3 linked regions of the Tribolium castaneum genome follow. The protein of the gene in region 1 purifies or fractionates together with the protein of each later gene. This does not show direct contact. Links are inferred from orthologs where the notes say so. Each region holds a gene or a part of one and is shown on either strand. Other genes may lie near its edges.

Evidence for each region.
Region 2: the proteins of eukaryotic initiation factor 4A-III (region 1) and Cbp80 purify together in Homo sapiens (co-immunoprecipitation; 3 studies listed by BioGRID and IntAct, with this or other methods). This does not show direct contact. The link is inferred for Tribolium castaneum from reciprocal best matches to the Homo sapiens genes EIF4A3 and NCBP1.
Region 3: the proteins of eukaryotic initiation factor 4A-III (region 1) and RnpS1 fractionate together in Homo sapiens (co-fractionation; 3 studies listed by BioGRID and IntAct, with this or other methods). This does not show direct contact. The link is inferred for Tribolium castaneum from reciprocal best matches to the Homo sapiens genes EIF4A3 and RNPS1.

Annotation. Positions count from the first base shown.
Region 1 is NC_087396.1:14,194,579-14,198,095, reverse strand, and holds eukaryotic initiation factor 4A-III, read right to left. Parts: upstream 2,207-3,517; 5' UTR 1,919-2,206; coding exon 1,771-1,918; intron 1,719-1,770; coding exon 1,383-1,718; intron 1,329-1,382; coding exon 598-1,328; 3' UTR 501-597; downstream 1-500. Other genes in the region: Sf3b2 (splicing factor 3B subunit 2), read left to right, coding at 28-325, 373-438. UniProt on the Homo sapiens protein: ATP-dependent RNA helicase. Involved in pre-mRNA splicing as component of the spliceosome. Core component of the splicing-dependent multiprotein exon junction complex (EJC) deposited at splice junctions on mRNAs.
Region 2 is NC_087397.1:5,580,077-5,584,376, forward strand, and holds part of Cbp80 (nuclear cap-binding protein subunit 1), read left to right. Parts: coding exon of another isoform or gene 1-2,080; intron 2,081-2,150; coding exon of another isoform or gene 2,151-2,186; exon of another isoform or gene 2,187-2,300; intron 2,301-3,616; coding exon 3,617-3,855; intron 3,856-3,903; coding exon 3,904-4,300. Other genes in the region: mucin-2-like, read right to left, coding at 1-2,080, 2,151-2,186. UniProt on the Homo sapiens protein: Component of the cap-binding complex (CBC), which binds cotranscriptionally to the 5'-cap of pre-mRNAs and is involved in various processes such as pre-mRNA splicing, translation regulation, nonsense-mediated mRNA decay, RNA-mediated gene silencing (RNAi) by microRNAs (miRNAs) and mRNA export.
Region 3 is NC_087399.1:5,873,613-5,876,890, forward strand, and holds RnpS1 (RNA-binding protein with serine-rich domain 1), read left to right. Parts: upstream 1-1,327; 5' UTR 1,328-1,484; coding exon 1,485-1,486; intron 1,487-1,716; coding exon 1,717-1,830; intron 1,831-1,880; coding exon 1,881-2,700; 3' UTR 2,701-2,778; downstream 2,779-3,278. Other genes in the region: fl(2)d (pre-mRNA-splicing regulator female-lethal(2)D), read left to right, coding at 229-882; ankyrin-3, read left to right, coding at 2,921-2,971, 3,018-3,145, 3,196-3,278. UniProt on the Homo sapiens protein: Part of pre- and post-splicing multiprotein mRNP complexes. Auxiliary component of the splicing-dependent multiprotein exon junction complex (EJC) deposited at splice junction on mRNAs.

The sequences.
Region 1 (3,517 bases):
AGGGGGGTATTTTAAATTGTTTTGTAGGGGTGAAAACCCGATTTTGTATCATGTCATTCCCGAAAAACGCAATGAGAGAATAGGTGGTTCCATGATGGGGAGCAGCCACGTTTACGACATGTCTGCTGTGGGCGCAGCCCCTGCAACTAGTCGCAAACCAGGGGACAAGGAAGGAATGGTTGAGTTGGCTCTTGATCCGTCTGAGTTGGATATGGATAGCGATGCAATGGCGGTTCGTTACGAACAACAAATGAGGGAAAACCAGTCACAGCTGCAGAAGGAAGATCTCAGTGATATGTTAGCTGAGCACGTCGCCAAACAAAAGGTAACATATTGTGTAATTTGTTGATTTACCTAATTGTTTCGTTTTAGAATAAACGCAAGCGCCAACAACAGGACACAAAACAAACGAAAAAATACAAAGAATTCAAGTTTTAGTGCATTTTCTGGTATGAATATTTGTCATTCTGATTTTAATTTGGCGAGAGAAATATTAGGAGTAGGAAAAATCATAGTCGTTTATTACTTCCCATATTAATTAATTAATTATTACACAAACTTCTTACATAATATAAGGACATAAAAAATGTTATTCGTTTAAATTAAATCAGCGACATTCATCGGCATTTCGTCAATCTGTGTGGAATAATACTGCTCAATATCCCGCAAAATCCTGATATCGTCCGACTTGACGAAATTAATCGCAACACCCTTTCTACCAAACCTGCCAGATCGCCCAATACGGTGAATGTACAACTCACGGTTGTTCGGCAAATCGTAATTAATGACCAAACTGACTTGCTGGACGTCGATACCTCTCGCCCACACATCGGTCGTGATAAGTACACGACTCTGTCCCGACCTGAACTCCTTCATAATATTATCTCTCTCCTTCTGGGGCATATCACCGTGCATGGAACTCACGGTGAAATTGTTTTCGCGCATTTTTTCAGTCAACCAATCGACTTTGCGTTTAGTGTTGCAAAAGATAACAGCTTGCGTGATGGTTAAAGTATCGTACAAGTCACAAAGTGTGTCAAATTTCCACTCCTCACGCTCAACCGCGACGAAAAATTGCTTGATGCCTTCAAGAGTTAATTCATCACGTTTTACCAAAATACGGATCGGGTCCGTCATGAACTTCGACGTGATCTCCAAAATCTCGTGGGGCAAAGTCGCAGAAATCAACACGACTTGAGTGGAGGGCGGCAGGAACCTGTAAACGTCGTAGATTTGCTCCTTGAAGCCTTTGTTTAACATTTCGTCGGCTTCGTCCAAAACCAGCATTTTGACGGACCTGGTCCTAAGGGCGCGCCGTCTGATCATGTCTGAAAATTAAGTTTTTTGGTAGGGGAAATTATTTATAAGATAATTATAAGTACCGTAAACTCTTCCAGGTGTTCCACTAACAACATGTTGCCCATAATCCAGCTTCCTGATATCCTCTCCCAGATTGGTCCCACCAATGCAGGCGTGACACTGCACGTTCATAAAGTCCCCCAAAGCCAGGATAACTTTCTGGATTTGCACGGCCAACTCCCTCGTTGGCGACAAGCAAAGTACTTGGGTTTCCCGCGTTTGCAAGTCAAGCGACTGCAAAATAGCGATCGAGAATGTGGCCGTTTTGCCGGTACCTGACTGGGCTTGAGCGATAACATCTCGGCCCTTTATTATCGGCTTGATAGCCCTCTGTTGGATAGCTGATGGTTTCTCAAAACCTGAAAGCAATGACCTCAATCCGAGCCGCACTGACCCACATTTTCCTATTACCATATGCAAAGACACCGCGAAGGAGCTCCTCCTTCAGGTGCATATTCTTAAATTGCTCGATGACTTCCACATCTTCGCTGGTTTCGAACTCAACGTTCGACAAGTCTTCGAAAGCCGCATTGCGGTTTGAAGGTTTTGCGACAGCCATTGCCTCCGTCAGAAATTAGAACGTGTGTTAAAGTAAAGTTTAGATGATTTAATTGAATGTCCAGTTCACTGAAGCACAACACTTGGGGCACCTGTCTTTCACAAAGGTGTTTGCATTTTTGGGGCCACTTGCACGTCCCCAACTGGTTTGTTTGTAGTATTGAGAGAAATAAAACACTTATTTTTCACCTTTACTAACTTTTAAACACTTTTTCGCCCGTTTAATGTTGTTTGCACGCGAGTCGCTACGTCTTTTAGCGTTTTTTGACATTTGACAAAAATATGGCGTCCACTTAATAGTAGGCAATATACAAGATTGTCTTGTATAATTGGTTGCCTGTGCATACTGTTAAAAAAATACAATTTATAGGTTACTGTAGCAACCCATAGATGGCACACAATTTTTTTCTAGATTACTGTAAACATGTACTTTGACCTACCATACTCAGATGTCGCCGCTTACGTTTTTTGGTTTTAATTTTTTTGTGTAATCTAAAAAATGTAATAAAGATCTAGTAAAAATTTTATAGAATTTGTAATTTACAAAATGCGAAATATCTTCGTTCTCGTACAAGATAGAGGGGTGGTTTTGCCCTTTTGAAAACCCAACCGCCCCGTAGTATTTTTCCTGGGCTATCGAATAGGCTAGGTCCCGTTCCCGTATCTCCATCAGGAACCGAAATAGCATTGCACATTTTTTAATCGGGAATCGAAGTACATGACGTAATAGTGCTCCAAAAGTTACGTGTGCATGCAAAATTTGAAGTTGCTACGACAACAGGAAGTGCCTCAAAATTAACTCGTAAAATATGATTCAAAATAAATCGCATTAAATAAAGTCTGTGAACAAACAAGCTGTAGTTTTTTATTAGAATTTTTATTCAACTTGCTTTGTTTGTCTTTCGGAGTTATAAATATTTTGAACTTAAATTTAAGACACTTCCTGTTATCGTAGCAACTTGAAATTTTGCATGCACACATAACTTTTGGAGCACTATTACGTAATGTACTTCGGTTGTTGATTTAAAGATGTGCAATGCTATCTCGGTTCCTGATGGAGATACGGGAACGGGACCTATTCCATTCGATAGCCCAGGAAAAATACTACGGGGCGGTAGGGTTTTCAAAAGGGCAGAACCACCCCTCTATCTCCTACAGGAACGGAGATATTTAAGATTTTGTGAATTACAAGATTTTCTTCAATTTTTATAAAAATTTTGTAAACAACCTAAAATTTTCTTTCACATTTCAAAATTTTTATAGAAATTTAAGGAAATCTTGTATTTCACAAAATGCGAAATATCTTCGTTCCTGTAGGAGATAGAGGGGTGGTTTTGCCCTTTTGAAAACCCTACCGCCCCGTAGTATTTTTCCTGGGCTATCGAATAGGCTAGGTCCTGTTCCCGTATCTCCATCAGGAACCGAAATAGCATTGCACATTTTTTAATCGAGAATCGAAGTACATGACGTAATAGGGCTCCAAAAGTTACGTGGACATGCAAAATTTCAAGTTGTTACGACAACAGGAAGTCTCCCAAATTTAAGTTCAAAATATTTATAAATCCGGAAGAAAGTTCAATAAAAACTGCTAATAAAAAAC
Region 2 (4,300 bases), on another chromosome or scaffold:
GGATTGTGAATTTTTGTTGCGTTACTGTTGTTTTTGGCTTTGATTCGAAATAAAATTCCGTGACTGTGGTGGGTTTAGGGTGGGTTGTCACAGATTCGGGTTCTCCTAAAGTGGTACCATAACTCGTTCGACTCCGAGTGGTCGTAGGTACTATCTCTGGTATAGTGGTTTCATAACTGGGTGTTTTTGCTATTGTCTCGTACGTATTTTTCGGGTGAGTTGTAGTGGGTACCGCCTCTACTACAGTCGTACCATAACTAGTTGACAGGTATGGAGTTGTGATAGGTACCGCCTCTATGATAGTAGAACCTTGCAGGGTTGTGACTGGTACAGCTTCTACTATAGTAGTTGAACCATATGGAGTTGTAGTGGGTATTGTTTGGATTGTGGTAGTAGTTTTAGGACTACTTGAAGTGTGTAGCGTTCTAACTGGTACTTCTTCTACTAGAGTCGTTCTGTAACTAGTTTTGGGGCTAGACGGTGGTAGAAAAGTAGTGCCTTGATTGGTTGAAGTGTGCAAAGTTCTGACTGGCACTGCTTCTATCACAGTGGTTCCATAACTGGTGGTTTTGGGGCTGGATGATGTGGAAAAAGTGGTATCATGACCAGTTGTAGGTCGTAAAGTTCGAACGGGTACTGCTTCTATTACTGTGGTTTCATAACTACTAGTCTTGGGGCTAGACGATGGTAGAAAAGTGGTTGACGTGTGCAGAGTTCTGACGGGAACTGCTTCTATTATAGTAGTTGTTTTGGGGCTAGTCGAAGTGGTTTTGGGACTGGTTGAAGTGTGTAAAGTCCTAACGGGTACCGCCTCAATCACCGTACTACTTTTCGGTACAGTGGTATAAAACGTAGTACTTTTAACCCTCTCGGTCGTAAAGGGCCCAATAATTGTAGTTTTCTGCTCTGTATACGGTACTTTTTCAATTGTGGTACTTTCTTCTTTCCTAACCGAAGGTTGAGTCGTGGTAACGTACGGAATTGTAGTTTCAACGTTTCGATCAGGGGCTGGAAGTTGTTCACTGATTGAATCCGGTCGTGTGTGTTTCGGAACTTCCGTAACCGGTTTCATCGGTTCGGTTGGACTAACCGGGAACAAATTAACTCGTTCTTCACTTGTCGTAATTTTTTTCGTAGTAGTTGTGCGTAACGCCTCCGAAAAAATATCAAAACTCTCGTCTTGTTTTTCCGTTGTTGTCTCAACCGGAGTGTAATAATGAATGGTTGTGATGGGTTTCGGCGACTTTGTATAACTTTGGGTCGGTAAAGTCGTAATCGGGATTAATTGTCCTTCACTTACGACAAAAGTCGTAGTCGTAGGAGTCGTAACTGAGAATCGGTGAGGCCCACTTGATGTTTTCGCCGCCAATGACTCGATCAATTTTTTGTACAGTTCGTATTCTTTTGGATCGATTGTTGTTTGGTCGTGGTATGAAGTGAAAAATCCGGGAAAACTGTGCAACACGTGTTTGTACCCATCCGGGGTCATTTGTATTAAAATTCCGGGTTTGTAGTGTCCATGATCTTCCTCTTTCTTGAACCACTCTTTTTGTCCAACTGTGTTCACACCCGGATCGCTCTTAATCACGAAAATGTGTCCCGGGACGTTATAGTTAAAAAACCCATGTCTTTTGACCAAATCCTCGCTGATGGTGTGCGTGATGGGCGAAATCGTGTACTCGATTTCGTACACGTGCCCATAATGGGGGTCCCGATGTCTTATCCGCTTCACCGTCCACAGTGCGAGTAGTTTATGGTGACCGAAGGTTTTCCACTGGCATTGGGGCGACGTGAGGCATCTTTGACAATCACAGTCCACGTCTTGAACAAATTTGAAACCTTCAGGGGTTATGTAGAGTTGTCCTCGTGCCAGAACGGCGATGTCTCCGAAAGGACTTGCGTCGTCCTGTCGGTTGATAAAAGGGGCTGCCAGGAGGCGGTCGCGGAGCCCCGGGTCGGTGTAGTGTTCCCGGAGGAGGGCCTGATGCACGGACTCACGCAGCCCCAATTCCCAGTCGGTGGGAGGATGAAAGTTTCGCACGGGTCGAGTGATTGATACAGTTTCCCATAGTTGGAGAGTCTGAAAATGAGAGTTTTCATTTTTTAATAACCTTGGACTTGAATGGGATTGTTAGTCGTGGTAAAATTACCAAGAGTAAAATGAAGATTATTTCGAAGTGTCCCATTTTAGACCCACTGGGTGTTTGCAAATGTTTGAAAGCTGCACATGTCACTAGTTCGCTCGGTTTCTTACAACTAAATCTTTTTACTTAGAGAGATTGAAGAGTACCCCACCGATGATCCTAGAAGCTTTCGACATAATTGCTAATACATTGTCTACTTTTCTGCGCACTGATGAATATTAATTATTTTTTTCTTGTGTGTGCAATGTGCATATTATATTACTTAATTTAGACACATGCCAAGATAATTATCTCGGGGTTTTAAGAAAAAACCCGAATTATTATTTTCGGACAAGTTAATTTGGCACGACAGTAATTAACTAAAATGACTCTCATTAACAATGAAGTTTTGAAATTTTTATTAAGAGTGATGGGTTTGTTAAAATTAAACCTTCGGAAAAAGTATTGTCCGAAGTGAGATTTTTTAATTAAAAATTTATTAGCAAGGTTTTATTGGCAATTCTATGATGAATTTGTATTGTCGCAACATCTTGATAATTGCATTTTCATTACGATAAATAATGGACTCGCACTTTTAATTTAATTTATTTTTTACCTTCTTCTTTGATGGTGGATTTTTGTTGATTTAATTTCTGCAAAAACATTTTTTTTCTTTATGTTACTCGAAGGAAAATAGAGAAATTTTATTTTCACCGAAAAGCGTGGCTAATTGAAACCTTGTGGTGTTACCTAAGACCCTATTTGCGTAAAATTCAGTACTTGAGGTAGAATATTTTCATTTTTATTGCACAAATTCATTACCTTTGATTTAATCTCCGCGTTATGAAACCAGAGATGTTTACGATCGTTCTTATTTTTTTCTTTTAATTCGTAATTTTGCTCACGAATCTTCAGTTTCACCTTGAACTTAATTGCTCTGAAAAGAACCGATTTTAAGTCAGCGGCGATATCGCAAAGTCGCATCTTTACGCTTGGAGATTTCGAAACGAAAAACAATAACGAAAGTGCATGTTACACGATGAAGATTACAATTGTTTGAAACAATCATCACAATGAGCAAATTTGACATAATGGTCACGGTATGAAGTGATTCTTGTAATTTAAAGGAAAAAGTCCGAAAGTAAAACGTGCGTGAATTTGACCAATTAACACGAGAAAATAGCTATACATTGCAGCTTGCGTAAGAAAGGGATACGATTATATGCGTTCGAGAAAAAACGAACGTTTCCGTTATGATTACTTGCAACAATATTGGATTTTCTGGTCGGTGGTCTTCCGCTATTATTAATTTTTCTTTTCCGTTTCGGTTTGCGGAAAACAATTTTGTTGTATTAAACGGATTGTTTTTTTGAATAATTCATTTATTTAAAGTGGAACGGAGGATTATGAGGAGTTGTGAAAAAATCCAGCTTCCGTCGTGGCGAAACCAAAATTATGAAATTTTTTGTCATGCATAACAAATCGTGTTTTAGCGTCACTTCCGGGTACTACGGCTGCCCATCAATTGGTGGTGTCAATACGTCAGAAGTGCACCCCCGAGGAGGTCCTAGGGGTGCTTAAGGACCTCCCAAACCCCCGTTCAGAAGAAGAGACTGATAGCAGATTTAATCCTCTCAAAATCGACGTTTTTGTGCAAACTCTACTCAACTTAGGGTCGAAGAGCTTCTCGCACAGTTTTGCAGCGATTTCCAAGTTTCTTTACGTTTTTAAGGTACTCAGGCTTGAACATTTGTGTCTTAAATCACTTTTTTTTTGATAGATTTTAGCAGAGTCGGAGGAAGCTCAAATTTGCGTTTTACGAAACATGTTCGAATTGTGGCACCACCACCAACAAATGATGGTCGTTTTAGTTGACAAAATGTTGAAAATTCAAATTGTCGAGTGTTCAGCGGTCGCTAATTGGATTTTTTCCAAAGAGATGACGGCCGAATTCACCAAAATGTACTTGTGGGAAATTTTACATCTGACTATTAAAAAAATGAACAGACACGTGATTAAGCTAGGGGGTGAACTAGCTGAAGCTAGAGAGAAACTAGCACGGGCTGAAAGCAGCGAAAGTGAGTCTGAAGATGAGGATTCGAAGAAGAAGCAATCTGATAACGAGAAACCAACTGAAGAGTATGTTGAAAGGATGGAAGAGAAGTTGGAAGCGGCAC
Region 3 (3,278 bases), on another chromosome or scaffold:
GAATCATTTTTCAATTTTTCATAAAATTGTGCGTTTGTACTAGTTTTAATAAAATCACCAGAAACGTTATGTTGAATAAAATGGTTAACATTACTTGTATATTTTATTAACGAAATGTCGGGGACGTAGACACCTTGTTATTGTAAGACCGCTGTGTAAACCCACTCCGAAAAATGGGCGCCCTTGCGATATTTTTTGTGTCAATATTAAAGAGTATTTTTGCTGCAGTGCCAATTGAACGAGCTGAAAAGTGCCCAAGCCCCCTCGGCCCTCCGTTCAACCCTGCTCGATCCTGCCGTGAACTGCATCCTTCAGCAGCTAAAAACCGAGCTCCAATCGACCCGTTCCGAGCTTGAGGACACCAAGAACGAGCTAACGGCGTGGAAATTCACCCCCGACTCGAACACGGGCAAACGCCTGATGGCGAAATGCCGCCTCCTGTACCAGGAGAACGAGGAACTCGGCAAAATCACGAGCTCGGGCCGCATCGCGAAGCTCGAGAGCGACCTGGCGCTGCAGAAGAGCTTCTCCGAGGAGGTCAGACAGAGCCAGAACGAGCTGGACGCGTTCCTGGCCGACCTGGACGAGGACGTCGAGGGCATGCAGAGCACGATCCTGTTCCTCCAGACGGAGCTGCGCAAGACGAAAGAGAGCGCCCAAGTGCTGCAGAAGGAGAACAGTACGCTCAAGCTGGCCAATGGGCGGTCGAACGGTGACAGTGTGTGTGAACAGGAACGGACGGACTCGGACTCCGAGGCGGAGAGGACTACTTGTGTGAAACGCGTGCGAAGGTCGTCCGTCCTCAGTATCGACTATAACGAGGACGACGCCCTCGTCATCAGCACGAACGGTGACGTCGCGATGGCCTCCGACCCAGAATAGTGAGCTGAGATTAACCCAACTATTACGCATATAAACTGACGAACAGTATATTCAATTGTACATAGAAATATACTAGCCTAATGTGGTTGTTTCGAATTGTGACTTCAATCATTACTAAATTGTGTTGATCACTGCGGTGCAGTTGCAGAATTTTTTCTATTAGTTTTGGCAACAATGCAATATTTTATTACTTTCCCCCATTCAAGGTGTTATCAAGGTGCGCTTTTTTATCCATTGTTCGCATTTTATTCATTCGACCGACTCTGTTTTAAATTTGTCAGATTGTATCATTTTTTAACGTTTTTATGTTGAAAGTTGTATTTATAAAATAAAACAAAAATTATATCACTTATTATTGACCACGGTGTTTTACTTGTAGCTGCGGGGGTGCAAAATTCAATCTCCCACCGTTGGTGTAGCAGTTACAAACTTAAAGTCACCAGAACAGCGCTACCAACATCAAGTGGTCGTAGTAGCGTCGTTTTGCTAATTTTCCACAATTACACAGTTTTTCATGTAGTTTTCATACTTCCGCGTTAATACAGTGAAAGGTTTTAGTTCTAAACTTGTCCCGACTTTACAGGAATCAAGAATAGTCAGAAATGTGAGTATTTACGTTTTGAGGTTATGTTTGTAGTCCGGGAGGGCTTTCCACGATTTCCTTGTAGTTTTAGCACATTTTAACTCCCATGCATCACTTGTGTTTGCTCGATTTGCTTCCTTCAAGGTTCTTCAAGATCAAGATAATTTGTATTACAACAACTGACTTGTTTGTTCACTCCCGGACACCATTACTTTTTACAAATTTTTTGAGTTGGTTTTTATTGTTCTTAGGGCAAAAATAGGTTCTGATACGGAAAAGGACGACAAGGATAAGAAGAAAGAACGTGGTAGGGACCGTAAACGGAAGAGTGAGTCTGGTTCAAGCAGCAGCGATAGCAGCAGAAGGTAACACCCGAGTTTGAAGAGTTTGTAATCACCTAAAACACTTGATTTAGTTCTTCCGACAGTAGCTCGTCCAGCTCGCGCTCTTCGAGCAGTTCCAGTTCGGGCAGCAGTTCCCGCTCGAGCAGTTCCTCCTCGGAGTCCTCAAGCTCAAGCAGCGATAAAGACCGCAGTCGCCCCAAACGCCGTTCGCGCTCCACCAGCAAACCCACCCGACGCAGCAAAGAGCGCAAAGACAAAGACAAGGAAAAGGAGAAGGAAAAAGATGTCAAAAAGGACGATAAAGACGAGGTCAAAGACAAAGACGTCAACAATCGCAAATCCCCAGCGAAAGACGACAAAAACCACACCCGTGGCAAGTCTCGTTCGCGCTCGCGCTCAGACCGGCGCAAAAGGCGTCGCAGGTCCCCCACGCCACGCCCCACGAAAATCCACATTGGGCGTTTAACACGCACCATCAACAGGGAGCACATTATGGAGATTTTCGGGACGTATGGACCAATCAAACATGTGGATTTCCCCAAAGACCACATCCACCCACACTTGGGGCGGGGCTTCTGCTACGTGGAGTTCACCAATGCGGACGATGCCGAAAACGCGATGAAACACATGGATGGGGGGCAAATTGATGGACAGGAGATCACGGCGGCTCCGGTGCTTGTACCCAAGCCGAGACCGCCCCCCATGAGGCGCAGCCCCATGCCGATGCATATGAGGAGGCCTCCGCCCCACAGACGCACCCCGCCCAGATTCCGGAGGCGGAGCCCCATGCGACCGATGAGGAGGAGCCCGCCGAGGAGGCGCCCCCATTCCAGGAGCCCCCCGCCCAGGCGCAGGAAGCACAGCCGCTCCAGTTCGAGCAGTTCCAGATGATTTTTTCGATTTTAATTTTTTAAGGTATTGTAATGCGTGAAAAGGAATAAAACCGGAATTAAGGTATTGATAATCAAAGATTGATAAATGATAAAATTATTATTTTGTCATATTGGTATTACCACGTATTGCCTATCACATAACCTAGCTTTCTTCAAATAATTGTTACAAATGAAATTGATGGAAAATTGATGAAGATGACTCGTAAATCGTTTAAGTGATGTCTGTCTCACATAATTGTGATGAAAACCGCCGAAATCTCTTATCTGAAGTAATAATTTATTTTGACATAACCTCAAATTTAGCCTTTGCTCCAGGTTGAATCAGCAATATCTAACAATGACCTTGCCACCCTCAAGCAGCTTTTACCGCACCCTTTTGACCAAACCACCCTTCAGGACGAAAACGGCAACAACCCTCTGCACTTATCCATAATTTACGAAAAGTATGATCCCCCCTAACGTTCAGTAAATCCCTACCAAGTCCTGGTTTCAGGAACGCAATTTTTGACTACTTGCTTGATAAATTCGACTTGGAGGCGCAAAACCACTCCGGACACACAGCCCTATCCCTGTCCC